Linked DNA regions of Callithrix jacchus. The main gene of each other region encodes a partner of the protein of the gene in region 5 in a complex. Links are inferred from orthologs where the notes say so. Each region holds a gene or a part of one and is shown on either strand. Other genes may lie near its edges. The genes, in order: AIM2, CASP8, MEFV, RIPK3 and ZBP1.

What was found.
Region 1: ZBP1 (region 5) and AIM2 share a complex: the UniProt entries of both Homo sapiens proteins name them as parts of the AIM2 PANoptosome complex. The link is inferred for Callithrix jacchus from reciprocal best matches to the Homo sapiens genes ZBP1 and AIM2.
Region 2: ZBP1 (region 5) and CASP8 share a complex: the UniProt entries of both Homo sapiens proteins name them as parts of the AIM2 PANoptosome complex. The link is inferred for Callithrix jacchus from reciprocal best matches to the Homo sapiens genes ZBP1 and CASP8.
Region 3: ZBP1 (region 5) and MEFV share a complex: the UniProt entries of both Homo sapiens proteins name them as parts of the AIM2 PANoptosome complex. The link is inferred for Callithrix jacchus from reciprocal best matches to the Homo sapiens genes ZBP1 and MEFV.
Region 4: ZBP1 (region 5) and RIPK3 share a complex: the UniProt entries of both Homo sapiens proteins name them as parts of the AIM2 PANoptosome complex. The link is inferred for Callithrix jacchus from reciprocal best matches to the Homo sapiens genes ZBP1 and RIPK3.

Annotation. Positions count from the first base shown.
Region 1 is NC_133519.1:19,054,514-19,060,099, reverse strand, and holds part of AIM2 (interferon-inducible protein AIM2), read left to right. Parts: intron 1-2,331; 5' UTR 2,332-2,351; coding exon 2,352-2,613; intron 2,614-5,586. UniProt on the Homo sapiens protein: Sensor component of the AIM2 inflammasome, which mediates inflammasome activation in response to the presence of double-stranded DNA (dsDNA) in the cytosol, leading to subsequent pyroptosis.
Region 2 is NC_133507.1:122,348,565-122,354,835, reverse strand, and holds the start of CASP8 (caspase-8), read right to left. Parts: upstream 3,600-6,271; 5' UTR 3,297-3,599; coding exon 3,272-3,296; exon of another isoform or gene 2,995-3,271; intron 1,082-2,994; exon of another isoform or gene 1,024-1,081; intron 1-1,023. UniProt on the Homo sapiens protein: Thiol protease that plays a key role in programmed cell death by acting as a molecular switch for apoptosis, necroptosis and pyroptosis, and is required to prevent tissue damage during embryonic development and adulthood.
Region 3 is NC_133513.1:5,410,082-5,416,410, reverse strand, and holds the start of MEFV (pyrin), read left to right. Parts: upstream 1-2,468; 5' UTR 2,469-3,078; exon of another isoform or gene 3,079-3,131; intron 3,132-6,023; exon of another isoform or gene 6,024-6,077; intron 6,078-6,329. UniProt on the Homo sapiens protein: Involved in the regulation of innate immunity and the inflammatory response in response to IFNG/IFN-gamma.
Region 4 is NC_133509.1:58,637,886-58,644,056, reverse strand, and holds RIPK3 (receptor-interacting serine/threonine-protein kinase 3), read left to right. Parts: upstream 1-2,417; 5' UTR 2,418-2,611; intron 2,612-2,815; 5' UTR 2,816-3,014; coding exon 3,015-3,386; intron 3,387-3,808; coding exon 3,809-3,954; intron 3,955-4,080; coding exon 4,081-4,127; intron 4,128-4,330; coding exon 4,331-4,498; intron 4,499-4,605; coding exon 4,606-4,673; intron 4,674-4,910; coding exon 4,911-5,288; 3' UTR 5,289-5,674; downstream 5,675-6,171. UniProt on the Homo sapiens protein: Serine/threonine-protein kinase that activates necroptosis and apoptosis, two parallel forms of cell death. Necroptosis, a programmed cell death process in response to death-inducing TNF-alpha family members, is triggered by RIPK3 following activation by ZBP1.
Region 5 is NC_133506.1:53,198,641-53,204,226, forward strand, and holds part of ZBP1 (Z-DNA-binding protein 1), read right to left. Parts: intron 5,572-5,586; coding exon 5,398-5,571; intron 4,006-5,397; coding exon 3,838-4,005; intron 2,644-3,837; coding exon 2,440-2,643; intron 1,079-2,439; coding exon 860-1,078; intron 1-859.

The DNA.
Region 1 (5,586 bases), on a different chromosome or scaffold from region 5:
TATACTCAAAGGATTATAAATCATTCTCCTATAAAGATACATGCACATGTATATTTACTGCAGCACTATTCACAATAGCAAAGACTTGGAACCAACCCAAACGCCCATCAATGATAGACTGGATAAAGAAAATGCGGCACATGTACACCATGGAATACTATGCAGTCATAAAAAAGAATGAGTTCATGTACTGCAGGGACATGGATGGAGCTGGAAACCATCATTCTCAGCAAACTGACACAAGAAGAGAAAACCAAACACCACATGTCCTCACTCATCAGTGGGAGTTGAACAATGAGAACACAGGGACACAGGGAGGGGAACATCACACACTGGGGTCTGTCAGGGGGTGGGAGCCTAGGGGAGTGACAGCATTAGGAGAAATACCTAATGAAGATGATGGGTTGATGGGGTACAGCAAACCACCACAGCACGTGTTATACCTATGTAACAAACCCGCACGTAAAGTATAAGAAAAAAAGAAAAATAAAAGAAACCTTCTTCTGCTTCAATGTATGGAGAAATTGTGTTTTATTCAATACCATTACTAGTCTATATAGATAATTAATCCAGCCAGATATATATTTTGTGTATGATGTAAGATAAAGTCTCAGTGTATCATTCCCCATATATTGTCATTTGCCTGAATGCTTTTTATAGTTGTCTATTCTTTCCTTGTGATTTTTAATGACACTTTGATTATATACCATGTTTTAATTTACATGTAGTTCTATTTCCACACTCAATTTGTTGACTTTTCTCTGTGCCACTACCATACTGATTTAATTATCATACATTTGTAGTAAGTATTAATATCTAGTAGTAGGGATAGTATATCCTAAAGAAATATTTAACTTATTTTGCATGTTTTTGTCTTTATTTTTTTCATTTAGGTTTTGTGAGCATCCCGATAATGTCTATAAAAATCCCTTTGAGATTCTGCATGGGAGTTTACAGATTAATTTGACAATATTGCTGTCTTCATTCTATCAATTCTTCCCATTGAAAATAGCACACATACACCCACTTGACTGGGTCTTTTAAATCTCTCGATAAAGTTTTATAAGGTTCCCTTTAAAACTCTTAAATATATTGTATTAGATGTTCTATGTGCTTTGTAGTTTTGTTGCTATTGGAAATTACTATTTTATGTAATATTTTTCTCTCTTGGAGTGGTGCTAGAATAAAGGAATGTATTTCTGCATATTAATCTTCTAGTTAGAAACATTGTTGAATCGTTGTTTATAATATTTTATTATTTTGGTTACTATACATAAACAATCATATTACTACAAGGTTATTCTGGACAAGATATAAAAATAGATCAATGGACAGAAGAAAGAATCCAGAAATAGACCCACTCATATTTGGACAACTGGTTTTTACAAAGATACAAAAAAAAAAGTCTTTAAAGAAAGAACAGTCTCTTTAACATACGCTTCTGGGAAAATTTATATTCATATGAAAAATAAATGAACTTTGAATCATCCCTCACTACATACACAAAATAACTCAAAACAGTGCACACACCCAAATGTAAAATATCAAGCCATAAAATTTTTAGAGGAGAACGTAAAATCTTCTAATCTTGACATGGAAAAGATTTCTTAAATATGACACTGAAAGCACAATCCATGAAAGAAAAAATTGGTTAATTTTACTTCATCAGGTAAATGTATATGCCGAAATTTATCAAAGTGTATACTTCCAATATATGCACTGTGTTGTATGTCAGTTATGCCTCGATAAATCTGTTTTTAAAACAACAGGAAAATGTATTGTTTTCTTTTTTGTGGTTGTTTTTGGTTTTTTTGAGACGGAGTTTCACTCTTGTTGCCCAGGCCGGAGTGCAATGGTGCAATCTTGGCTCACAACAACCTCTGCCTCTTGGGTTCAAGTGATTCTCCTGCCTCAGCCTTCAGAGTAGTTGGGATTACAGGCATCCACCACCACGACTGGCTAATTTTTATATTTTTAGTAGAGATGGGATTTTGCCATATTGGCCAGGCTGGTCTCAAACTCCTGACCTCACGTGATCCGCCCACTTCAGCCTCTCAAAGTTCTGGGATTACAGGCATAAGCTACTGTGCCCAGCTGATATCTCCTGTTTTCTAAGAATTCCAGAGGTGTTGTATACTTTCTGAAAATGTCTTTCCGGGGAATAGTGACTACCTTGCTTAAGAAGTTCTTACCTATGTTCCACTCAAACCTCTTACTACTGTAAACATTTGTTTATTTTTCTTTAAAATATAGTAACAGCTCACCTTGCTTCATTCTGAACATAGAATCACTTTTGGTGGTGTAATCTTCTATGATTTGGACTCCTTACAGGCGGATCCTGAAGTTCTTAGATGGAGAGTAAATATAAGGAGATACTCCTGCTAACGGGCCTGGAGAACATCACTGATGAAGAACTGGAGAGGTTTAAGTTCTTTCTTCCAGATGAGTTTAATATTGCCACAGGCAAACTACATACTGCAAATAGACCACAACTAGCTAACTTGATGATTCAAAATGCTGGTGTGGTGTCTGCAGTAATGAAGACCATTCATATTTTTCAGAAGTTGAATTACATGCTTTTGGCAAAACGTCTTCAGGAAGAGAAGGAGAAAGGTAAAGTGGGATCCTGCCCTGCCCAGTCCCTTTCTTCGCCAAGCCTGGGCCTTTCCTTTTACGGCGTCCCTGGGATATGGCCCCCAGTGCACGTTTGTTGGAATTTGTTTGCTAACTTAGTGCACTTGTCTCTTTGCCTCCTTTTACTGAGAATCACCTCTAGGAAGTGTTTGGTACAAATTCCACAAATCCATTCCATCTTCTGTTGGCATCTCTTGTTCCAACGCTTAGAGTTACCACTTCCATTTATCGTCTTTTCTCTTTGCCTATCTGTCTCCAGTTCAATTGCAGTGAACTTGGATGTAGGATTTCTTTTTCTTTTTTTTTTTTTTGAGACAGAGTTTCGCTCTTGTTACCCAGACTGGAGTGCAATGGCACGATCTCGGCTCACCGCAACCTCTGCCTTCTGGGTTCAGGCAATTCTCCTGCCTCAGCCTCCCGAGTAGCTGGGACTACAGGCACACACCACCATGCCCAGCTAATTTTTGTGTTTTTAGTAGAGACGGGGTTTCACCTTGTTGACCAGGATGGTCTCAATCTCTTGACCTCATGATCCACCCGCCTCGGCCTCCCAAAGTGCTGGGATTATAGGCGTGAGCCACCGCACCTGGCCTTGGATGTAGGATTTCAAAGTTAACATCCCCCAACTCCATTTACACAGTATATAATGCGCTCACATTTTACTGAAGTCATGAAAATATAAATAAATTATTGCAGTGGAAAAGCGTAAACCGGGATATTGAGCACCTTTTCTCCTTCACACAGTCTGTCTATTCCTCTCCTGTCCCCAGCTTTCTGAGGACCCAGAGTATCCTTCTTCAGGGAATAATCTCCTCCTTCTATTAGGGGATTCTCTCTCCTATCTCCAGTACAGGTGGCACTATAAATTACCCACAACACAAAGGTTTTTTACATTATTCAATAAATCACTCATCATCTCCATCTACATTTAGTTTAAATCTCGTTTAAATTTCTGATTTTGTTTGCTAAGAAAATTGATATGTCCCGGCTTTATGTCTGAAGAATAAAAGAGAGGTAACAAAGGAGCATATCATCCAAGGACTCTCCCAAATGAGAGTCTCCAAATGCCACAGTTTTAGGATTCAAAGTACAGCTGTAGGCCGGGAGCAGTGGCTCACGCCTATAATCCCAGTACTTTGGGAGGCCAAGGCGGGTGGATCACGAGGTCAAGAGGTGGAGACCATCCTGGCCAACATGGTGAAACCCCGTCTCTACTAAAAATACAAAAATTAGCTGGGCATGGTGGTAGGTGCCTGTAGTCCCAGCTACTCGGGAGGCTGAGGCAGGAGAATTGCCTGAACCCAGGAGGTGGAGGTTGTGGTGAGCCGAGATCGCACCATTGCACTCCAGCCTGGGTAACAAGAGCGAAACTCAGTCTCAAAAAAAAAAAAGTACAACTATAACAGCAAAAATTACAACAGCTTTTAACAGCATTTGTGAGTGTATAACACGGATGACATCACTTCTCAAACATGACTTATAGGAAGGCTAAATGAAGCCATGAAAGTGATACTATGTACGCTCATAATTCTATACAGATATAAACTGTTTGCTAGTATCTAAGGCACTGAAGAGAAAGGACTGCTTGTTATACATTGTATTTTCCCAGGCTATGTGAAGTTAGAAGGTGTAGTTCTTAGACATGGCCCCTAGATGGCAGTAACTACACGTTGTTTTGAAGTAACCAACTGCTCTTTTTCTTGTCTGGGATGAGACAGGAATCTAAGCATATTTATTGGCAAACATAGGCGGAGAATTTTAGAAATATCTTTTATTTTGTCATTAAATCAAGAATTAATTCTTCTCTTTGACACAAAGGATAGCACAAAGTTTCACCTTCTAAAATCTTCTCCCCATTTTGCTGTTCTAATGATCCTGGGATTTTGTTATTCTGATTCGATAGAAAAGATAGTTTGGGACTAGAATCCAGGGACTCTCCCAAATGAGAGTCTCCACATGTAACAGTTGCAGGATTCAACGTGTGCTTTTTGGATGGGTGCAAGTGGCTCACACCTGTAATCCCAGCAGTTTGGGAGGCCGAGGTGGGCAGATCACTTGAGGTCAGGAGTTGAAGACCAACCTGGCCAACATGGTGAAACCTCATCTCTAATAAAAATACAAAACTTAGCCAGGAGTGGTGGCAGGCGCCTGTAATCCCAGCTACTCGGGAGGCTGAGGCAGGAGAATCACTTGAACCTGGGAGGCAGAGGTTGCAGTGAGCTGAGATCACGCCTCTGCACTCTCACCTGGGCAACAACAGTGAGACCCTGTCTCAAACAACCACAAGACACAAAGTATGCTTCTTGTATGCTTTACAAGAAGGCAATTAAGTTCCATCAAAGCTAAAATTCCAACCACAGACATTCTTAGGCCTCCTTTGAATGTAGGAAATTTTTGTGTGTCTAGGCTACTTCTATTATTATAGGAAAACAATTTTTGTTTTGTTTTTTGAACAGTTAATCTTTTATTTTTGGTTAAGTGATCCCTCTCCATAGCCATTGCATGTCTGCATGTAGAGTGCTATATGCTGTTCTACTCACAACCTCACCTCACAGAAGATAGACGATACCTGGAGAATCTTTAATGAAGACAGAGGCAATAATCAGTAGACAAGAGAAGCTTTTGTAGGAAGCAAAATGAGATAATGTAAGGACATGGAAGCCTAGAGAAAAGAAGCTAAGAGAAAACGTGATCAAAGTCTACAAAAGTCCTGTAAGATTAAAATAAAATGCTCAAAAGGATAAATGAAATAATAAACAACAATGTGCACCCTGATTATTAAGGCAAATGAGAGATTCATAGTGGGCAGACAAGCTTATTCATAAATATTGCTTTGGTACCACTGTGTGAGATGAAATATGGCTGATGTGATGTGGCAGAATGATAGGTGGATTCCCTTGACCTCCCGTGACTGTTTTCTCTAGTATGCTGTCATCATAGAAGGCAGACTTT
Region 2 (6,271 bases), on a different chromosome or scaffold from region 5:
GACATCCATTCTGCACTCACATGGTGTCCATAGCAGGGCGCCGCAACCACAGTGTGCAAACAACCAAGCAAAGGTATCCCGACCTCAGCAAAACATACAAGCCCATCATTTTCAAACAGAATGAAACTTGCAACTTCACCTGTAAATGCTTAACCCCACAAGGACAGGTCTCTGATTTCATCCATCCAGTCTTCCCATTATATTGTTTTTTGAACTGTTTTGTATCTTTTTAATTTTCTTTCTTTTTTTTTTGAGACAGAGTTTTGCTCTTGTTGCCCAGGCTGGAAAGCAATGGCGTGATCTCGGCTCACAGCAATCTCCGCCTCCCAGGTTCAAGCAATTCTCCTGCCTCATCCTCCCAAGTAGCTGGGATTAAAAGCATGGGCCACCACGCCCAGCTAATTTTGTAATTTTAGGAGAGACGAGGTTTCTCCTTGTTGGTCAGGCTGGTCTCAAACTCCCGACCTCAGGTGATCCACCTGCCTCGGCCTCCCAAAGTGCTGGGATTACAGATGTGAGCCACCATGCCCAGCCTTTTTAAATTTCTTTAAAAAACAAATAATTGAATTAGTAGGACAATGGGTATGAGTATGCGTATGTGTGTGTGTGTGTGTGTTTATGTTGGCAAATGTGTATGTTGGTGGGTCTGTGTGTTGGTGGGAGGATAGCTGTAGCAGCAAAGTCAGTTGAGATTTAAATTTTGGCTTCTAAGACAAGTTGGGCTGGGATCAGGCTTTCGTACAAGTAGCTAAACTTGGAGCCTTTCAGAAACTCCTAAGACTCCATCGATCTAAGTTAGAGTGGCTTGAGGTCTGGAAACTGCATAACCCTCGGCAAGGCTCTCAGAGGGACTGCTGCCTCTTACACTAACTTCATGGTTTCCCCATCCACACTCAAACATGAGGATCACCTCCATGGCCCCAAGGCCACCCAATCTCACTCTCAGGAGCCTAGAAAACTCCAGAATCAAAGGCCTTCCTCCCAAAAGGCCCCTCTGACCTTACCAAAGAGGCGAATCCTTACCTTATTATCACAACGGTAGCACCTTCTTCACAGGCCTATCCACTGCCCATCTGAGCATCTAAGACAAGAGCAAACGTCTAATGAAGGACGGAAGGCACAGCCAGCTGCACTTCCTGTTTCGAAACTCCTGAGTCACAAACACTAGAGGGGAAACAACACTTACCACTTGTCTCTGAGTGAGCAGAGCCGCCCTCTAAAGCTCCTAAAGCTAAAGGGAAAAGGCCTGGTGGTCCATGAGATTGCAGGCAGGGTGGGGCAAGGCACATGGCCACCTGAGCAATGGCCACTGGCCAACATCTTTGTGTGACTTTGGATGAGTCATTTTACCTTTGGAGCCTCATTTCCATGTTCTGAAATGAGGACACTGGACTGGATTGTAACTAAGAACACTTTCTTTTCATATTTAGTATTTGAAGTTTTTTTGGGTTCATCATTAAGACTTTAAGTTTTTCATTCAATGTATCGTGACTGAGCACCCCGGAGAGGTCTTGAGATTGGGCACTGCAGAGCCCTCATCTTGGTTCTCAAGGTGGCTGCGAACTTTCAGAGCTAAAGCACCTGGTTTAGCCAAGGAGCATCTCCATGGCCCCAAGGTCACCAGATTCCACTCTCAGCAATCTAAAAAACTTTAAAATAAAAAACTCTAAAATGAAAAACCTCTAAAAAGAAAAAACTCTGAAATAAAAAAAAAAATTCTAAAATAAAAAATCTAGAAAGAAAAGAACTCTAAAATGAAATAACTCTTTGGTAAGCCCATCTTACCAAAGGTGGTCCTTGTGTATGAGTGTAGCTGAGGAAACCATGAAGTTAACTGCAAGATGGGTTTTTACCATCTTATCAAAGAGGCAAATCCTGGGGACCTCATCATGTTGGGCTCTAGTTGCCCATATGTATATAATATATGTATCAGTAAACAAAAGATTGCCTTCATACTGAGAGTTAGCTGAAATGTTTTCTGATATTAAAAGCAGGAAAAGAAAATCAAGCATCTCTCTTCTTTGAAGCTGCCTTTTGTCCTTCCCCAAATAGAATATAAGCATTCAGAGGGCAGGCACTCATAGCTGAGAAGACTGAATGAAGTATCTGAAAGGGACTCCTCACCAGAGAGGGCTAGGTCAAGGTGGCCTCATAACATCAATGCCTGATGGGCACAGTGGCATGCCTGTAATCCTAGCACTTTGGGAGGCCAAGGTGGGAGGATCATTTGAGCCTAGGCATTTGAGACCAGCCTGGGCAACATAGTGAGACACCATCTCTACGAAAAAAAATTTTTAATTAGCCAGGTGTAGTAGCACATGCCTGTGGTCCCAGCTAATCTGAAAGCTGAGATGGGAAAATTGCTTAATCCCAGGATGTCGAGGCTGAAGTGAGCCATGATTGTGCCACTGTACAATCATGATTGTGCCTGGGTGACAGAGCAAGACCCTGTCTCAAAAAAACAAAAAAGAAATAGAAATAGAATGTGCAAAATAAAATACCAATAATATTAATATGCAATAGTAATTGATAACTGGTGTAGTAAGTGACTTGTGCCTAGTGTCTCCTTCAAGCCTCACAGTCACCTCCCGAGGCATTATTAATCCCATATAATGATGAGATGACAGAGGCACAGAGGAATTACTTACCTGCCTCAGATCGCATAGTTAAAAAATAGTGTACACACACAAAAGAAAAATACATTTTGCAAAGATACAGATTAAATCACGAATTCATATCAAAACATTAGAGAACTGTCTTTGGGAAGCAAGAGAGAGGGCAGGGGTGGGAGTGGAGAGGTGAAAGGAAACCCTTAGAACCCGGGGAGGAAGGAAGCCGGCTGTGCGCCTTAGGGACCCAGGTCTGCAGGGCATCGTGATTCGACAGAATAAAGAACTTAACCCCCTGCCCCAGGGCCAAATGAAAAAGAAAAAAAAAAAGTGGATTGATAAAGTTTTCTGGAATCTCCAAAAGGGTCCACAGGAGGGAGACAGTGTGTCGGTATTCGAGGCGTCAGGGAAGCTGGGAGCTCAAGCTCTGAAGGCGGCAAAGAAACTGGAGACTCCTCCGAGTGAAAAAGCAGCAAGGTCAGAGGCAACGGCTCAGAGAGAAGCCCCACAGGGGAGCGGGGCCAGGCAGGACCCAGAGGTGTCCTCAGAAGGGCAGATGCAAGTTGCTTCCCCCTGCCCACCGACCCGTTTCTAGAGCTAGTGAAGAAACAAAAATATTGTGGTTTCCTGTGGAAGGGGTCACCTCGGCAACAGGCACTCACCCGCTCCACCCTTTCCGGGCACCATCGCAGTCTCCGAGTCCCCTAACCTGCCTAACTCCACACGCTCCGTGGGGAGCGGGGTGGGAAGGGCTCCCAGGAGGAACCTTTCTTTTACTTTCGATCACCACCCTCCACGGCCTCACTTCCTGTTGAGTGGACTAGCAAATTCAGCCCGGCTTGAAAAAAACGCAAGAGTAAGGAGGAAATCTGTAAAAACACTTCCCTCCAGCAAAAGGACAGAATCTGGTCTCCAGAGAAAAAGAAAATTCACAACAGAAGGAACTCCGGGGTAAATTGTACTCCTAAAGCAGGAGGACAGAGATGACTCACTCAAGCAAGAAATGTTTCCTTTTTAAAGGAACAGATGCCCAATTTCCAACCATTCAGAAGAGGTAGGTGGCAGACAATTCATTGACGTGCAAACTAGAAACCCGAGCGCTGGACATGCTTCACTGGAAAGCATTTATACTGACTCCATTAATAATAATAACACCTGTCCGTAGCAAGTAATATGCCATTCTTCCTTGCAAAGGGTCTGGGGAGAGGGCATTTCCCTCTCTTGATCCAAATCTCAGCACTGAAGCCACAGACCAGCCTTCTCCTCCCTCCCCGAGGACTGAGTAAAGCCAGCCCTGTAGCTGAAATGTAGGTAGATTGTTCACAAAGGAGGAAGTGTTTTCGCTCAGCCCTACTTGGCTCAGCCCTGAGTTCCCAGCCGTGGCCATGTTCTCCAGTTTAGTAGTAACCTGTGTCTTTGTAGTATCCAGCCTGGAGTGTTGGTGCTACTGAGTGAGGTCTGTTCCCCAAGCTCTGAGCCCCAGACCCTCCCCTGTTCTCTCTTTTGTTTGTTTGTTTGTTTGGTCTGTTGCCCAGGCTGGAGTGCAGTGCTGAGATCTTGGCTCACTGCAGTCTCCACCTCCTGGATTCAAGTGATTCTCCTGCCTCAGCCTCCCTAGTATCTGGGACTACAGGCACCCACCACCACGTCCAGCTAATTTTTGCATTTTTAGTAGAGACGGGGTTTCACCATGTTGGTCAGACTGATCTCCAACTCCTGACCTCAAACAATCCACCCACCTTGGCCTCCCAAAGTGCTGGGATTATAGGCATAAGCCACCATGCCCAGTCCCTCCCCAGTTCTCTCCCATCTGCTTCTGTTTCCTGAGTTTTTAATAAGGGTTTTCCGCCCTTTTGTTTTCACATGTTGTACATTTTATAACCAGAACACCAACAATAACACATTACTTATATGTTACACCATGACAAGAACTACCACTAATTCTCTCAGCAATTCAGAGTATTGTTCTCCCATGTTATAGATGAGGAAACTAATGCTCAAACAGTTACATAGAGTCAAACACAGTCCTGCTGGGCCAAAGACAGGGATTTTTCTATGACACACTAACTCCCTTTCTCCAACACTTAGGATTTGGAATCAATTATGTGGATGGAAGAGCAACAAATTTAAACTAAGAGTGACCGATGCACAAAGGTCAGAAGGTCCTTGGTTTCTCAGTCACCTAACAAAAATGAGATGGCCTAATAAAGGCACAGCTAATACTAATCAAACCATTTGTGTATGCCAGACATGGCCACCTAAATTGGTTCATTTCCACTTCTGAACAGTTCTCAGAAGTGGATGCTACTACTGGTCCCATTTTATGAATGGGGACACTGAGGCTTAGAGAGGTTGAAAGACTTGGCTATGCTCATTCAGTGAGTGAGTGATAGAATGAGCTCTGTTTGTCTCTAAGGCCCTGAGTGGTTAGTCACTGCCTAAACATGAATGCACAACCATGATCTCAATCTGACCAACCTCAGAATTAACTGCAAAATTTTTTAAAATACGAATCTTCAAGTTCCAGCTTTGGAACTCCTAACTGAGCAAAAATGTGGGAGATAAAACAGCTGGAGCACTTATAATAGTGCCTGTGCCTTCCACAGTTCTCAGTAAATAGGCTGTGGTCGCGGTGACTCGCACCAGTAGTTCCAGCACTTTGGAAGGCCAAGGCAGGAGGATCACTTGAGCCCCAGAAATAGAGACCAGCCTGGGCAACATAGGGAGACACCGTCTCTACAGAAAATGTTAAAAATTAGTCAGGTGTCGTGAGGTGCGTCTATGGTCTCCAGCTACTTAGGAGACTGAAGTGAAAGGAAAACTTGAGCGTGGGAGGTCAAGGGTGCAGGGAGCTATGCTCATGCCACTGCACTCCAGCCTGGGTGACAGAGCGAGACCCTGTATCAATAAATAAATAAATATTCACTACCCTGTTATTCAAGCTCACAACATCTCTCAGATGGCTACAGATTATTAGGCCTGTTACAGATGACGAAATTAAATGCAACATCAATCAGCTGACAAATGGCAGGGCCAGTGCATGAACTCAGGAGTGTCTCACTCAAGAGTTTCTGCTCTTAGACCCTGTAAACGTCTCACTGCATGTACCCAAACCCAGCCTTGCAAATACGGGTTAGCTGCTGGATGCATCTGAGAGGCAGTACTGAGAATGCGGGGAGCAGGGTAGCGGTGGGAGTCTCAGGGCTTCAACTTGTGCCATTTGTAAGGCACTGACCCTAGATTCTCCAGTCTTAGATCTTTTATATATATATATACATATATGAAGAGCTAATAAGTGAATTATGGCCAGGCACAGTGGCTCACCCCTGTGATCCCAGCACTTGGAGAGGCTGAGGCAGGCGGATCACTTAAGAGCAGTTCAAGAGCGGCCCGGCCAACATGGCGAAACCCCATCTCTACTAAAAATACAAAAAAATTAGCTGGGCATGGTGGCATGTGCCTGTAGTCTCAGCTACTCAAGGCTTGAGAATCGCTTGAGCCTAGGAGGTGGAGGTTGCAATGAGCCAAGATGGCACCATTGTGCCTGTGTGACAGAGGGAGACTCCATCTCAAAAAAAATAATAGCAGTAAGAGTTAATAAGTAAATTATAACCCTCAGGTTGGTTGAATTTCTATTGTGAAGCACAAGGCTCATTATTACT
Region 3 (6,329 bases), on a different chromosome or scaffold from region 5:
TTCTGACTCACACGGTCGCTTTATCCTAACCACTTCCTGCAGCTTTAAGACTTGTTTCCAGCTGCTCGTTTCTGCAGAGGATTGTCCTTGGAGGGTGGGGTGTCCACTGTGGTTCCAGCTGCAGCTCTGGAGCCAACACATGAAGATGCCCTCTGCAGGACAGTAAGAGAAATACCACACGAGGTTGGCTGAGATATGTGCCTTGGCACTGTGTTTGTTTCAAAGAACCAAAGCTTTCCTGGGCAAATGGCCTCTTAGTCATTTCAGCTTACCTCAGTCGCATTTTTAAAATTTCAGTTTCTGCTCTGGAGCTTCAGGGGAATTGAGGCATGAGACAATTAGGCCCTAAAGAACAGTCTGTCTGCATAAATGTTATGCCTGCAGAGTGTGTGTGTGTGTGTGTTGTGTATGTGTGTGTTAGGAGATAGATCTGGGATGTGTTTCATTCAGTACTGGCTCAAGGTTCCTTATTTGACTTGCTAATTTAAACTCATTCTACTTTGGAAACCTCTAATATTTTTTCTCTATGAGGAGAGTCTGCTTTTAAAAATCATTTGCCTAATCTTACGCACCCCAGTGAAACAAAGTCACAGGCAATAAATTTGTAAATTTTTCTCTTATAAAAGTAATGGAGCAAAATATGAAATTTCTCCTCTAAAATTTAGCTTGCCATATTTTATTTTGCCTTATTGTTTCACACTGAGCATATATTCGTGGACTGTGTTTCATAAGTCATAAAACTTTAAAATGCTCATTGAAAAAAATTAAAACGGCTGGGCACAGTGGCTCACGCCTGTAATCCCAGCACTTTAGGAGGCCAAGCAGGTGGATCACGATGTCAGGAGTTCAAGACCACCCTGGTGAAACCCCGACTCTACTAAAAATACAAAAAAATTAGCCGGGCGTGATGGCGGGCGCCTGTAATCCCAGCTTCTTGGGAGGCTGAGGCAAAGAATTGCTTGAGGCCAACTCCTACCCTCAATTCTACTCTCTAGAGGTAGCCATATTTCTTTCTTTTTCTTTTTTTTTTTTTTTTTTTAAGACGGGGTTTCATCATGTTGGTCAGGCTGGTCTTGAACTCCCGACCTCAGGTGATCCGCTCGCCTTGGCCTCCAAAGTGCTTGGATTACAGGCGTGAGCCACCATGCCCGGCCAGCCATATTTATTTCTTCCGTTTCTCTCCAGATAAATTTTAACAATTTTTTTTTTTGTTATTTACAAACATGGGATCATACTATCTGCACTGTACTGCAATTGTGCTTTTTCCATTGAATAATACATAGACCATCTTTGCACATTAGCACACAAATGCACTGCGCTGCTTTTAGTGGATGCAGTGTAGTCCATGGAATGGATTTACCAAAACTTATTCAGCCAATGCCCTGGTGACAGACATTTAAGGGATTTATAGTTTCTGACTAACTGGCAAGTGTGGCAGGTGGGGAAGTGTTCTAGGATTATCACCATGATAGGTGTACGAAAGTGCCCCTGAGACTACCATGGAGGTGAATACACCCTCCTTATGCTTACCTGAAGACAAGTGTCTTGATGGGTAGAACGTCAATAGAATGTAGGACCCAGAAAAACAGACCATCTAGCTGGTTTTCCAAGATTTTTGTGGGCTGCAATACACTTGGATCAAAGGAAATCCTTCTTGAAGGTTCAATACCTAAAACAGTTAAAAAGTCGTGGCTGGTCTGGCATTAGCTGGGGGAGGTGGGGAGGAAGGAAGAGGGCTATGCCTATGAAGCTCCTCAAATAAGAAACCAGATGCATGTGCTTTCTCTGAGCCAAACCATTACCTCTCTGGCTCATATTATGTTAGTAGATTTCTCAAAAGGAAAAGCCACAAGTTTCAGAAACTGTACTCTAGGGTTCTGAGGGGGGCAGAGAGTTTGAGAATCCTTGCTCTAGCCTGCCTCTGCTGATTGAGAAAACGGTAGTGCTGCTGTTGGGCTGAAATAGCTGTTCCTTTCACCGCTTTTGTCATGACTAGTAACTACCGTTTATCTGTTCTCGGCCTCCTTGGAACAGGGGTCTTGCCTGACACGTGCACACTCGCACGTGGCACAGTAAGTGGGACACAGTAGGCACTCGGAAAGTGTTTGCTGTAAACATGAATGAAAAAGGGCGACAGGCTAATAAAGGGTGGAAGGCTTTTGGGGGTCAGCACAGCCCCGGGACGTCCCATTCTCGTGGGCCGCCAGACGCCAGGAAACACGCCGACTCCACTTCACGGCGCCGCGCCCGGGATACCAGAGACTACATCGACTCATTCCCGACATAGGGCGCGCGGCAACTCCGGCGAAAAGCAGCGATAGGCTGTCGCGGCTGCCAATCAGACCAACGGCGCCGCGACTCGGAGACCTCTGGGAGACACGGGTCCCTGTCCATCCCCTCTCCAACTGGCTCGCGTGCTCGCGGGGTACTCTGGGAGATGTGTTTCTAGGAGCGGTCTGCGCAAGTGCATGCGTGAGGGCGGGGCTTCGGGGGTCGGTCTGGCGCGTCCGTCGCGCCTTCTATGAGCCCCTCGGCAGAAGCCGCCGTGGGGCGCCTCCCTCCCTTCTTCAGTCAGCCCGGGACCCCGGCGGGAATGAGGCGCAGGGAGTGTCTCGCTTGACCCCAGCGCGTCCTGGCGCCCTGCGGACACTTCCTCTTCATCCTCGGTCGCTCTTCCCGCATGTCTCCTTCCCGAAGCCCCTTCTCCTCGGGATGCCGGGGCAGAGACCCCCCCCCCGGAGTGGCGCCGCCCTCCGCTCTGGCGTGGGGTTCGCGGGGCGTCGGCGGGAGGGGTCCTGGAGGGAACGGCTGTGCGGGGGCGGGACCCCCTCCTCCCCACAGACGCGCCCCTGACAGTCGTGCCATGGCTCTGCGGACGTCCGAGGACGCTACTGGCGGTTCCTCCCGCCGTGCCCGGCACTGTTACCTCCCCGAATTGCCGGAACAACCCACTTGGTAGGAAACGGAAACTGAGAAAAATCGACTAACTTGCCCACGTCACACGGCCCCAGATATTTGAGTCTCGTATTTCCCACCATTTCGTGGAGCTTCCAGACTCGCCAACAGTTGCAAAACAAGGTGATGAGTGGGAATGGCATAAGCACGGGGCGGGGAGAGGAAGTGGGCAGCACCTTAGAGGGCAGGATTCAACAAACGGAACCTCAAAGGGGGCAGTGTCAGTGCAGCTTCGTAGTTGGTGAGAAACGAAGGGCTGGGCACGGTGGCTCAGGCCTGTAATCCCAGCATTTTGGGAGGCCGAGGCGGGCGGATCACGAGGTCATCAGTTTGAGACCAGCCTCACCAACAAACATGGTGAAACCCCGTCTCTACTAAAAATATAAAAATTATCCAGGTGTGGTGCTGTGCACCTGTAATCCCAGCTACTTGGGAGGCTGAGTCAGGAGAATCTCTTGAACCTGGGAGGTGGAGGTTGCAGTGAGCCGAGATCATGCCACTGCACTCTGCTTGGGCAGCTGAGTGAGACTGTCTCAAAAAAAAATAATAATAATAACAAAATAAAATATGAAACAAATTCCCTGCACTCGCTAACCCTATTATTCTGCTATTTTTTTCTCCAACTTCCTTATGACTTCCGGATACATTATGTATTTGTTTATATCAGTTCACACTTTCCTATAAGAATGTAGGCTCAGGCCAGGTACAGTGAACCACACCTGTAATCCCAGCACTTTGGGACGCTGAGACAGGTGGATCACCTGAGGTCAGGAGTTTGAGACCAGCCTGGCCAACATGGTGATACCCTATCTCTAATAAACTAGCCAGGCATGGGGGTGGGTGTCTGTAATCCCAGCTACTCAGGAGGCTGAGGCAGAAGAATCTCTTGAGCCTGAGAGGTGGAGTTGCAGTAAGCCGAGACAGTGCCACTGCACTCCAGCCTGGGCAACAGAGCGAGACTTGTATTAAAAAAAAAAAAAAAAAAAAAAAGGCTCTTCTGAGTGGGCCAAACGCAGTGGTTCACGCCTGTAATCCCAGCACTTTGGGAGGCCAAAGCAGGCAGATCATTCGAGGCCAGGAGTACCAAACCAACATGGTGAAACCCCGTTTCTACTAAAAATACAAAAATTAGGCAGGCTTTGTGGTTGTGGGCGCCTGTAATCCCAGCTACTCAGGAGGCTGAGGCAGGAGAATTGCCTGAACCCAGGAGGTGGAGGTTGCGGTGAGCCGAGATCGTGCCATTGCACTCCAGCCTGGGTAACAAGAGCGAAACTCCGTCTCAAAAAAAAAATCGTTAACCCTTTAGGTTTCTGAATTTTTTATTTCTCAAGGACTGTGCTGTACAAAACATAATCTCAGCACTGAAGTGACAGCCATCACTGTGATCAGGGGCCAGCTGACAGACAAGCCATGGATGACCAAGGGCCTTTCTTGCCAGCTTGCTCACCCCAGAGAGGGCTGTGGAGTGATTCTAAGCAAAGTGTCTTAGAATATAGTTTGGTGCCTGGAAATTCACTTAAAATTTGAATGATTAGCCTCTCAAAGGCTCAGATCTCTCCCTTAAAAGTAAATATACCGGTGGTGTGGAGGAGTTTGTGTCACAGTGGGATTCATTATTCTCCACTCCAAATCAACATGGGAAATCTTCCACAACCTTCCAACAGCTCTGTCCATTATGTCAACAACAGACCTATTACTCCATCTCAAAAATAAATAAATAAATAAATAAAAACACTTAAATGACATTACAAGGGCGATAATTGTATTTTCACTGTAATAAATTACTGGACCCCCCCACAAACAAAAGCTTTGTGAGCCTTTCTTGCCCTAGAAACTCCCAAGTGGCATCAAAACATTGTCTTCTAGAAGTCCTGCCTTAGAACTGCTTCTGTTGCAAAAACTGTCACCGCGATTGCAAAATGTCCTGATTTAAACCGGAAAGTCCCGTTTTCTGCCCAATTCTGTCATGGGGTTTTGGTCTCAGCTCCGAGAAGTTTTCTGACCAGTCAAGATGGGATCACACAGCACCCATAGCGTCACTACAGAGTCTCATCCTTTCTCCATCTGGGAGACTGCCCGGGAGGAGCTGGTCCCAGTGATACCCCAGTCAACACCCTTCTTCTGGCTCAGCCTAAAAATTCCAAAAGTCTGCTGTCTATGCCATCAATGTGCATTTCGGTTCACTCCCTTTTTTTTTCCTTGAGACTGGGTGTTTTGCTGTGTCACCCAGGCTGGAGTGCAGTGGTGCAATCACAGCTCATTGCAGCCTCAACCTAGGCTCAAGCAATCTTCCCGCCTCAGCCTCCTGAGCAGCAGGGACCACCAGTGTGTGCCACCACACCCAGCTAATTTTGTGTGTGTGTGTGTGTGTGTGTGTGTGTGGAGGTGGGGTCTCCTTATATTGCCCAGGCTAATCTCCAATTCCTGGGCTTAAGTAATCCTTCTGCCTCAGCCTCCCAAGGGCTGGGATTATAGGTGTGAGCCACCATACCTGGCCCCATTCACCTACTCTTTATTTAGGGAAGATGTTGGGTTTGGAGGTTATAGATCAAAAGGATCTAGTGAACTGCTTGTTTGTTATGACTTATGACAACAAAGCAGGCCGGGCGCGGTGGCTCACGCCTGTAATCCAAGCACTTTGGGAGGCCAAGGCGGGCGGATCACCTGAGGTGGGGAGTGTTCAAGACCAACCTGACCAACATGGAGAAACCCGTCTCTACTAAAAATACAAAATTAGCCAGGCGCTGTGGTGCATGCCTCTAATCCCAGCTACTTGGGAGGCTGAGGCAGGAGAATTGCTTGAATCTGAGAGGCAGAGGTTGTGGTGAGCTGAGATTGCGCCCTTGTACTCCAGTCTGGGCAAAAGCAAAACTCTGTCTTTTTTTACAAAAAGGAAAGAAAGAAAAGAAAACAAAGCAGAAGCACCAGATACTCTGTGAAATAGAAAACTGGTAGACCGACTGGACAGTAAGTTAAATCCAAGCAACCAGAGCTCATCAAAGCCTTGACTCCCAGGCTCGGCACACACAGAGGTGCTCACACGCAGAGCTGTTTGCTCAGCTGGGTACCAGAATGTGGTGACTGACCCGTGGAAGTGACCCGTCCTGGACCTCAATGGCCAGCTGGAAATGTGACATCCATGGGTACTCATGGGTAGTAAAGTCATAAATTATTGTCACGCAGGGGATGATGTTGTGAAGTGCTGGATGTTTGGATCCTGGCTCTGGGCGTCATTAAGTTACAGATTCTTGGTTGCACAGGGGAATGAATGACAAAGCCAGCCCTGTAGAACGCTGCAGAGATTCTAGGAGGTGGTGTTTATAAAGCAAGTGGTGGCTGCTGCAGAGGGTAAAATGCATTATTAACAAAACTTC
Region 4 (6,171 bases), on a different chromosome or scaffold from region 5:
AACAACAGATGAGGATTAAGACTAGAATATACAAAGAGAGACCACATAGATCCCCCACAATCCCCTACCTCTACAACAATCAGGGATAGGGAACCAGAGATGAACTGAAGGTAATCAGAGAATCAGGAGCAGGGAACTGAAGGAATAAGAAATACTCAAGTAAGGCCAGGTGCGGTGGCTCACACCTGTAATCCCAGCACTTTGGGAGGCTGAGGTGGGTGGATCACGAGGTCAGGGGTTGAAGACCATCCTGGCCAACATGGTGAAACACTGTCTCTACTAAAAATACAAAAATTAGCCGGGCAAGGTGGTGCATGCCTGTGGTCACAGCTACTTGGGAGGCTGGAGCAGAAGAATCACTTGAACCTGGGAGGCAGAGGTTGCAGTGAGCCAATATCACATGACTGCATTCCAGCCTGGGCAACAGAGCGAGACGCTGTCGTGAAAACAAAATACTGATTAAATTTTTTTAAAAAATACCCAAGTAGACTTCAAAAGCCTGGGACATCTGTGGTCAGAGACAGCAGTCCTCAGAAAAGACCAGAGCTCCAAAATCCAGAAATGAGCCCACCCCCACACCGCCTTGCTGGAGGCTGAGGGTCCTGTTAGGCACTTAATCTAAGGTTTTTCTCCCTGCTCTTCCTTCTTTTAAAGGGGCTGTTTATTTTGAGTCAAAAAGTAGTATAGGCCCTGATACCACACCCAACCCTGTGTTTCACAGTGGTTTATCCCTGATTCTCAGGGTCTCGTCCCAATCTGAAAAAACCCAGTTATGACAACTTTCGAACTCCTTATGCCTGCTCCCTTCAAGTGGAGATATTGAGCCCAGGTTATTCTCTCTAAAGAGAATCACAAAGGGAGTGGCTGCCCCTTCTGATGGCTCTCAGCTTCTGACTAGGCTTTTCTGAGGATCTGCTACACTTCTTGCCTTCTTGGATTCTGTGTGATACCGCCATATCTCTATACTAAAGCCTACTTCAGATGGAGTTCATGAACTGTTCAGGTGAGAGCCCTCAATCCCTACAGGAACCCAATCTCCTCTTTCCTCCTAATGAGTATGGAGTTTCATCTAGGATGATCAGTGTCTTAAGGAAGGCTCAGTATTTTTGATTGTTCATTTATTCATTCAATTCAATAAATATTTATTGGGTACCTGTCATTTATTGGCTTTTAAAGAGACTATGGTTGAACAATTCCCTAAATGGCTCCAAAATAGCATGAGCTGACCCTACCAGAAGCCATGACATGGCTCTCCAGGAGCTGTTCTAGAAAAAACTGCTAGTCACTTCTGCTTCAACCAGCCCATGGACCACTGGACAAAATGGAAAGCAAGTACCAAGGTGAGCACCTTTTAGTGAGAGCCAACACACAACCCACAGGATTGAGTCTCCCTGTGAAGAACTGAGTGCCTAGGGCTGACCCTAGCTTGTTCCCACAACCCCCAGTCATGGTCAGACCTTAGAAAGGTAAAATATGGACACCTTTTTTCTGCCCTAAATCTTTAAGACGCTGCATGCTCCCGGGTTATCAAAGACCTGTGTCCGAGCACGTGCTTGTCAGGAACATTAATTAGGGTATTTGCATGCAAGAGCTGTCATGCAAGAGAGAGGGCAGGAAAGCTCTGAGGTGTTTCCACTGCAATGTACACCGCAATGTCAGCAACCTTCTGGCTGGGCTGATATATCTAGCCTTACCACAATGCCCTGGGAGTTGTTTTAGGGCTTGTCAGCTCCAGGGGCTCCTGTTCATAGGGCATATAAGTCCCTATCAGAGCAGCGATAGGGACTGGGCAGGAATACAGATAGGGGTCCTTCATTACATCGTTGGATGCTTCACACCTTCCCCAACCACCTGCATGACCAGCTGAGTGGTACAGCCCTGAAGTCTATGTGAAAATAGGAAAACTTGATGGTTCAGAGCCATTATTTCCACATGGGCTTAGGCATGATACTTAAACTCTCAGTGTCTCAGTTTCCTCGTCCATAAAAATAGTAATAAAAGCAGTACCTATCCTCTTAGGGTTCATGTGAGAATTAAATAAGCTAATATATGTACCTGGTGTGTAGTAACTTTTATATACGTGTTGGCTATAATCTTAGGGCAGCTGTGAGAGAGCTGAGCCCCAGAACCATAAAACCCTCTTAAGCACCATCCCCACTCACGGCCTGGCAGGTGGTGGAGCAGGAAATCCCGTGGGAAAAGGGAAGGCGTTGGCTGTAGGAGAGGGTCGATTGTGGGTTCCCGGAAGGTGAGGACTCCTTCCCTAACATCCTCAATGCCCAGCTACAACCAACCTGGCCGCGGCACGCAGCAGGCGCCCAAGAAACACTAGTCAGAGAGGAAAGCACTAGCTTTCGTTCTGCCCCCGTCCCACCCCAGGGGCGGGACTGTAGAGTCGCCTGAAAGGGAAGTTGTTCAGTCAACTCGGAATAGCGGTAGCAACCCGGAAAGTGGAATCATCATCTTGGTCTAGAGACTGACGCCTGTGCATGCAGACCCGTTCCCCTCTCTACCAAAGACCGCAGCCCCGGAAGTCACTCCATCTCCTGCAGCTCGCTATTTCCAGCGGCCCCCTCGTACCTTCCAGCCTGATGTCTCACGTCAAGTTATGGTGAGTAGGGAGTGGCGTGTGGATCTGAGTCTCCGACACTCACCCCCAGAGCTACCCGCGACTCGCTCAGAGAACGCCTTTGCGTCTAGGGACGGTGGGGGCGGGCGAGGGAGGCCGAGGATTGCAGTGGGCGCCGAGTCACGGGGGCGGGGGGAGCAGCGCGGACACTGCACTGCCGGCTAGTGGGCGACACCCCTCTCTCAGGTTGAACGGTGCTTCCGCCTCCTTGGTGTTAGACAAGTAATTGGAGAACCACAAGCTCGTCGGCTCAGGCGGGTTCGGCAACGTGTTCCGGGCGCATCATAGGAAGTGGGGCTGCGATGTGGCTGTCAAGATCGTGAACTCGTGAGTGTCCGGCCAAGGTCTGGGCAAAAAGGTGGAGCCGCTGTGCTCTGCGACCTGAATGGGGAAGGGAGGGATTCTCCCAGGACCCCGGTGCGACTCCAGCTCTCTACTGGAGTGTAGGAAGGCGATATCCAGGGAGGTCAAGGCCATGGCAAGTCTGAATAACGAATTCGTGCTGTGCCTAAAAGGGGTCATCGAGGAGGTGGGGTGGGACGACGATTTCAGGCCGGCACTGGTGACTGAATTCATGGAGAACGGCTCCCTGTCGGGGCTGCTGAAGCCCCAGTGCCCTCGGCCCTGGCCACTCCTCTGCCGCCTGCTGAAAGAAGTGGTGCTCGGGATGTGTTACCTGCATGAGCAGAACCCGGCGCTCCTGCACCAGGACCTCAAGCCATCCAACATCCTGCTGGACCCGGAGCTGCACGTCAAGGTTAGCCGGTCTACACCCCTCTCAGCCTCAGGACAAGGCCCCACCCCAGAGCTGCTCCAGCCAGGGCCACCAGACACTAGACCTGCAGAGCCCTGTCTGTTGAATAGGCACAGCCTCTCCCTCTGGACTCAGAGTTGTCAGGGGACAAAGCCCAGCCGGGAGTTTTAGCTCCTGCCCTACCAGGTGATAGAGGCCCTGACCCACACGAGTCATTTCCACCAGCTGTCCCACCAGGCCCTGGAGACTCAGACTTGGACCCAGCCCTACCACAGGGCACCTAGATCTACCACCCAAGGGAACCCCTTCCCTTGACCTTCACACTCTTTTTACAAAGCTGAATCTGCACCATCTGGGGGTAGGGAGTATTCTGGAGGCTGCCTGCTTTGTCTTCCCCGCTTCCCCCTTCTTCCCTTCATTTGCAGCTGGCAGATTTTGGCCTGTCCACATTTCAGGGAAGCTCACCGTCAGGGACAGGGTCTAGGGAGCCAGGGGGCACCCTGGGCTACTTGGCCCCAGAACTGTTTGTTAATGTAAACCAGAAGGCCTCCCCAGCCAGTGATGTCTACAGGTAAGGATCCCACCCCAAACACACAGCGGGGATTCCTACACCTCTCTTGGCCCTCCTAGGGGATGACGTATAGGAAAGGAGTCTTGCCAGTGATTGGACCTGTCCTCAGCTTTGTGTCTCCTGCAGCTTCGGGATCCTAATGTGGGCAGTGCTTGCTGGAAGAGAAGCTGAGTGTAAGACTCTAGGCAGATTCTGGGATCCTTAACCCCAGGTGCCCTTCTGAAAGCCCCAAGTCTTCCCCTTCCTGCTCATCTACTTAGACTGCCCTCCTCCCTCATGGTGCCCCCACATTACACTCCCTGCCTCTTTCCATGATGGACAGATATTCCCTTTTACCCCAAATGCCTTCTCTTCTCACCCACCTTCCCTACCCCAGTGCCGACCGAAGCATCACTGGTGTATGGAGCAGTGTGCAAGAGGGAGGCCCAGCCCTCACTAAATGAACTGTCCCAAGCTGGGCCTGAGACTCCTGGCTTGGAAGGACTGAAGGATTTAATGCAGCTCTGCTGTAGCAATGAGCCCAAGGACAGACCCTCCTTCCAGGGTGAGCTGCCCAGTTAGCTGGATCTGTGATAAGCTTGGGTCTGTCAGCAGGGGGCTCTTCTCAGGAAAAGATTTGCTCACCTGCAACCCAATCTACTGTCCCTCTAGAATGCCTACCAAAAACCGATGAAGGCTTCGAGCTGGTGAAGAACAATATGAATGCTGCTGTCTCCACAGTGAGCTCCCAACATCATCCCTCTCCAGGAGCTGGTCAGGGATAGCACAACATGACTACCTAGCCATCCAATGATGGCTTACCACCGATCACCGCTTTTTATGCCTTGAACTTTGTCCCCACCCTCCCCAGCCCACCCCCGAGTTCCCAGCCAACAGATTATGGACCAAGAGACTACTCCCTTGGGTTTGCTCTGGCTCATCCAAGTTATACCCAGCAAACTCCTCCATCCCTGCAGGTAAAGAATTTCCTGTCTGAGCTCAGGAGCAGCAATAGGTCAGGCCAAGGAAAGACAGAAATGGATGGCTTTGGGAGAAACACAGGAAGGCAGCACTGTTATGATGATTTCATGGATTCTGACCTGCTAAATAAACTGAATCTAGAGGATTCTTCCAGCTGTGTTCCTGAAAAATACCCAAGTCTTACCAAGAAGAGCAGGGCACAAGAGGAGCAGGTTCCACAAGCCAGGACAGCAGGGACATCTTCAGATTCAATGGCTCAACCTCCCCAGACTCCAGAGACCTCAACTTTCAGAAACCAGACACCCAGCCCCACCTCAACTGGAACACCAGGTCCTAGACCCCAAAGGAATCAGGTGAGACATTGGCAGGATTAGGGGATGCACTAGAACTCCTATAAATCCTTTCCCCTTGCCAGGGAAAACTTGGAGCTGAGAGGAGTGCAGAGGGAACACCAGACTCTGGGACAGAACTGAATGCTCTGTGCTGTTTGCAGGGGGCTAAGAGACATGGCATGAACTGGTCCTCCAGGAACCTGGAACCAAATCCAGTAACAGATACCCACTCTCTACCCCTTTTTTTCCCTGTTCAATTATTCCACCAGACTCTTCCTCCAGACCTATAACTAGATTCAGGGTAACTTGTGGAGGGGAGGAGAGAAGACGATCTAACTCAACCTTCTCATTTCATAAATGGGAAAACTGACAGCCCCTGAGAAAGGAGCACTCTGAGGTCTCACAATAAAGCTTGGATTTGTCCCTGAGTTTTCTAACTTTGCACAACACCAGCTCTGTGTGTTGTCCCTACGTTCCATTGTTGTTTCAGCAGTCCAGAGAACCTCCCAGCAAAAAGATCAGGGTCTCAAATGTCCATTGCCACTCTCTACAGCTTCTGCTAACCCAATTCTGGAGAGGAACTCTGAAGGGGAGGGCACAGGGCACACCTTGACACAAGCCACTGACAAGTGGAAACCTCATACTCCCCACCCACCCTCAACTTTGCCTTACTGACAGCTAAACCCTCCTGCCACCATTACTTTTTCTCTTAAAGAGACACCATCTATTACCTTACACAACTGCTCTGGGGTGCAAATTGAAAACAATAACTACTTGACTATGCTACGGATGAGAGGGGAGACCCCCCCTCCCCTCCTCCCACTTCCCAGCCGCCACCTCCTCCTCCCCACTGGATGGGAAGGAGGGTGAAAAACATAAAATAGGCTGGTCACAGTGGCTCATGCCTGTAATCCCAGCACTTTGG
Region 5 (5,586 bases):
CCTTGAGTTGGGATCCCCAGGCTCTGCCACCAGCCTGTGCAGCCCCCAGGAGCAGAACTGTGGCTGGGCTGTGAACTGTACTGATTTGCCCCTCTCCCTTTTTCTGTGAGCAGCGGAGCCCCCTCCCCTAAGTCTCTGCTAGGCTGAGGCTGCCTTGACACGGGCAGCATTTCCCAGCCCCCCATGGCTAAGTGCAGGCCCTCTGAACAGCACAGATGCGTAGGTGGGCTTGGTCACAGACAGCAGCCGGCTCTCCACCTTCTCGGCCCTCTCCTTGCTGGTGCCAAATTCAACCCCACAGGTGAGGACGGAGCCCCAGGGACAATTCAGCACTGAGGTAAAAGAAACCCTGCTCTGCTCCCCTCACCCGGACATGAGGCCTGGGCTTCGAGCAGGCGGGGGCCACCATGTGAGGCATCTCCACTGTGGCAGGTCGGCCTGTGCCCTGATGCAAAGCCTCATTTGCGTGGCAACCCAGCACCTCTCTGGGGCCCCAAACAATCACGACAGCAATGATGAGACAGTAACACTCCTATCTCCAGAATTTGGGCCGGGCTGAGCTCCGCCTTCCTCACAGCCACTTAGGAGTCACTTCAGGCTATTCTTTCCACCCCCCTTTACAGCTACGGAGACAGAGGATCTTGGGTGAAGTGACTTGGGTGGGTCCCTCCACCAAAGGGGCAGAGCCTGGAAGCTCTGACTCCAGAGTTGCTGCTCTTCACCATGGGTGGGCACTGCCTCCTGACTCCAGGAAAGGAGAGATCAGAGAATGGTTGATGAGAATAAATGAATGAATGAATGGAATGTGGGGAGAGAGAGAGAGAGGACACACAGGGGTCCACTCTGCCCCCCAGCTCACCTACATCCTCCCCTGGCTCCCCATCTCCAGACCCTGCAACTCCTCCTGGGTCAGCTGCCCCTGGGATGATAGACATTTTGTTGCTGTTGCCGATGGTGGTGTCCTCGAGAAAGCATGATTTTATGTGGATTCTCTGGGCGGCGTCCTCCTTGGGGTGAGTTCCTGGATTGGGCATTCTTTCTTCAAACGAAGCTTCTGGGCCGGCAGCAGTGGCAGAGACTGTGGGTGAAAGGGAGAGATGTCGGGAGCCTGAAGCATCTGGACAGCGGCCCCAGAGCCCTGACCCCAGCCTGGCTCACTCTCCTCCCCAGACCTCTCACCAGCGGCCCACTCCACCCCACACACACAGCCTGCGTCTGGCTTCCCCACTGCCACACCTACGCACGCTGTCGGGATCCTGGACGTGTCTCTCCACCAGCTGGTGGGTCTTCCCTGCTGATACCACCCAGCTGATCTGGTTGTCGGTGTCTTCTGGGGTTCAGCTCCTCCCTTCTCTGCTGCCTGCTTCCCACTGCACTGGAACACTGGCCCCCACTTTTGGTTGAAATCTTACGGGGGCTCCCAGCCTGGCCCCAGCCCCTGCCATCTGGCTCTGCTCTTTCCCATCCAGAAAAGTCATCTACACTGCGTCTTGCCTCCTCCCGCTTCCCAGACCCCTTCTGCTCCCCCACTCCCAGAAACCACCCCCACAAGGTTACCATGACCCCTCTCGCTGAACCCTACAGCAGCTTCCCTGGCCTGGCTGCTCTCTGGAGACTCCTCTCCCGGGGCCTCTGCTTTCCTCCTCCCTCTCTGGCTTCTCTGCTGGTTCTTCTCCCCAGCCCATCTCTGCATTCCTAGTGTGGGGGAAGCCTCCGCCTGGGGCCCTCTGGTTACTGCAGCCACCGCACCTAGTAGGGCTCCTGTCTTCCATCCTCCCTAGATGCCATTCCATCCTCCCTAGATGCCATTCCAGTGATGGCAGGGCCATCACTTCTGCCCCTGCCCCAGCTGGCCCAGCCTCTGCTTCTTTGGGGAGGTCATGCCCATTTTACAGATAAGGAAACTGAGGTTTCCTTCCTGCAGTGGGTCATAGGGGATGGGGACCCAGAGTGCTAGCTTTATTTTATTTATTTTTATTTTTTGAGACAGAGTCTCACTCTGTCACCCAGGCTGGGGTGCAGTGGTGTAGACTCGGTTCACTGCAACCTTTGCCTCCTGGGTTCAAGCAATTCTCCTGCCTCAAACTTCTGAGTAGCTGGGACTACAGGTGTACATCACCACACCCAGTTAATTTTTTTTTTTTTTTTTTTTTTTTTTTAGTAGAGACAGGGTTTCACCATATTAGTCAGGCTTGTCTCGAGCTCCTGACCTCAGGTGATCCACCCGCCTTGGCCTCCCAAAGTGCTAGGATTACAGGCGTGAGTCACCATGCCTGGCCTAGAGTGGTAGCTTTAAAACCCCACCTGCTCTACTCTGGTTCAGCCACCTGGTGAAAAGGAATTTCCCATCATGCCTCTCTCCCCACAAGGAACTCCAGTTCCTTCCAGTGGGAACTAAGGGGTAGCAGGGGTGTGTCTGACCTCTAGGTCCCCAGTTACCTGGGGGGCTGCCAGAGGGGCTGTGGGCAGGGCCCTCGGATGGAACGCCGTGAAGCCTCATCTCATTGCTGTGTCCCAGCTGCACTCGTCTGAGCATGGACCGCTCCATGTGGATGTCCTGGACCCCCCAGGCATCAACCAGGGTCCCCTGAATTGAGGAATCACCTGGTGCCATTGGAGGGAGGTGGCAGGGACCCGTGGAACCTGGCAGAGGACAGCGGAACCGCCTCACTGGAGATTACTGCAGGCTTCTTACCTCCCCTCACCACCACACATGGTCCTGGCTTCTGAATTCTTCCTGGGCACCATCAAACTGGGGGCAAAGACTTTAGGCTCTGACTTAGAGAGCAGGAGGACCTGGCAGAACAGCTCATTTTCGGGCTCCCTGGGTTCTCAGGACTTGCGCTGGTGCCTGGCTGTTGCAAGGACTCACAAACCCAAACAGTGAGCTCCTTGCTGGTTCGCAGTCATTCTCCAGCCTTCCGGCCTCAAGGGGATAAAGTCTCCTTTGATGCTGACACCAAGGGCTCAGAGCCTCCCGCAGCATTTCAACTGCCAGGAATCACATTTATTTTTATGGTGATTTTCATGGTTTTAACCTAAAATAATACTATAAAATTGTTTTAAAATAAATTTTTTAAAAGGTGCACTACTCAGCAACATTAATTAAATAATCAGACATTGGTATGGCCAGAAGCGGGAAGGTGGGGCTCAGAGGATTAAGGCTGGGGAAACTATGATCTAGATTCTAGAACAAAGTTCCTCATTTCACAATTGGGGAAACTGAGGCTCACAGTGAGGAAAGGTTCTCCCAAAGTTACAGGGAGTGTCCTGACTTTGGGGCTGATGCTCTCACTCACAGGTGACAAGGCTGGGCTGATAGGTGGCTCTGTCCCCTCTTGCTACAGTGTCCGGCATGGGGTAAGTGTGCAGAGTGCAACATAGAATTTCATCCAAAGAAGGATGCCATGGGTGGTGAGATCCACCTCAGTTTCCAGCCTGTTCAAATGTGGGGGAAAGTATCGTTTCTCAGAACAAATACCATTCTACAATAACCTCCCTGTGGCATTCTTCGGAGGGAGAGAGTAATTGAGTTGTTTCTCATGGAGAAACATCGGACCCCACTGAAAGCATAAGGTCAAGTGCAACACAGAGGGACCCCATCTTAATTTTAAGGTTTTATCAAAAAATAAAAATAAGAAACTGAGGTCGAAGGTATCAAAGTACAGGGAAATCAGAACTTTGATCCAGGCGCCCTCATTCTCAGGGTGGCCATAATGTGGAAGCTCCCCTTTCCCCCTGGAGGGCTGAATACCCCACACTTGGCCTCCACCTGGTGGACCAGGTGGCTCCCCTTGAGGTTGAGGTTCCCTCCCGGGGCTCTCTCGGGTGACTCACTGTCCTCCCTGGAGACTGCCTGCCTTGTCATGGTGTTCCCGTGTCCAATCTGGATGGCTTCCGAGTGTGCAATGGAAATCTGGCCGTTCGGTCCATTCTGGCAGATCACATTGATTGGATTGTGCTGGTAAATAATCGAGGTAGACTCTGCTGTTCCTCCAGAATCTTCTGCAAAACAATATTCAACTCTAAACCTTCGCTCCTCTCTGTGGGTCAAGGGTTGCCAATACTAGTGGGCAGCACCAAGTTCTCTGGGGAGCTTGTGAAAACACCCTGGGGTTCCCGGTCAGTAGGACCGAGTAGGGGCCCAGAGCCGGGTGTTTACCGGACACCACAGGTACCTCAGAGGGAGCCTTCCTTAGAAATCGCCACTGCAAGTCACCCTACCTGTGTCCTTTGCTGCCCCCACAGCTGGCCCTCCATGATTGCTGGCTGGGAGGACTGCAGGGGCCCACACTGCTCTCCCAAGGGGCAGCCACAGCCCGGACCCCTGGGCACCTGCACTGCTGCTCTTCTCACTTGAGCAGTGGCCAAGAGAGAGCAGCCCATGGGACCAGATGGGGTGTGTTTGGTTCCCATGGGATTTTAAGTATTTGAATTTGTCAGTGATTAAAATCTGATGGCTGTCACATGTTATTCCTTCCTCACAGCAGCTCTAGGACACTGAGACCCCCTGGAGCACCTGCCATGAGCAGCAGAGTCCACCCCGACGGGGCCAAGGCAGGCACCTCCGTGGACTTCGTGGGGCCTATCACCACCCTCTGGGGTCTCAGCTTCTGTGCCTTTGTGAGTCTTTCCCCTATACACAAATATTTAACCCTTTCTTTTTGAGGCAGAGTTTCGCTTTTGTTGCCCAGGCTGGAGTGCAGTGGTGTGATCTCAGCTCACTGCAATCTCTGCCTCCCAGGTTCAAGCAGTTCTCCTACCTCAGCCTCCCAAGTAGCTGGGATTACAGGTGTGCACCACCATGCTCAGCTAATTTTTGTATTTTTAGTGGAGACGGGGGTCCACCATGTTGGCCAGGCTGGTCTCAAACTCCTGACCTCAGGTGAGCTGCCCGCCTTGGCCTCCCAAAGTGCTAGAATTACAGGCACCAGCCACCACACCTGGCTCATTTTTAGATATTCGTTATTATAGTATTCATTTCTTCTGATTTTAAATGAAACTGAAATTAAAGATTTTCAAGGACCCCGATAGTGCCATGGGCCCTTGGCCCTGCACTTACTGGGTCTCATGGAGAAGTCCGCCCAGCGGCTCCACTTGGTAGGGGTCTGATCCTAGTCTTGCCTTCTCTTCTGCGAACTTTAAAATCCAGACCTGGGCAAAGTGCTTAAAGAAAACTGTTCTCAAACTCAAACTGACCCCTGCACCCCAGAGCTGAGAACACTGGGAGTGGGCACCTCCATCCCATCCGATGGCCTTCTGCAACTGCAGCCCTTGGGCCACACCTCCAGGAAGCCATCCCTGGTTAATCCCGCCAGCACACCACTTCCTCCTAGAAGCCCTTGCCATGAACTGCCAGTAGGACCTCCAGAAGCTTCCAGGGTGGGAGGGGCCTACCTGGGCGGTAAATCCTCCATGTTTTGGATTGCTCATCCAAGTCCAGAAGGTGCCTGCTTTTCATCCTGTACAAGTCTCGGTTCACATCTTTTGCTGTCCTCATTTTCAGCCCCTGGGCGATGTACAGAGCCCTTTGGGGACCATTGTCTTTGAGAAAACTGTAGATTTCTTTCTCTGGGAGGCAGGATG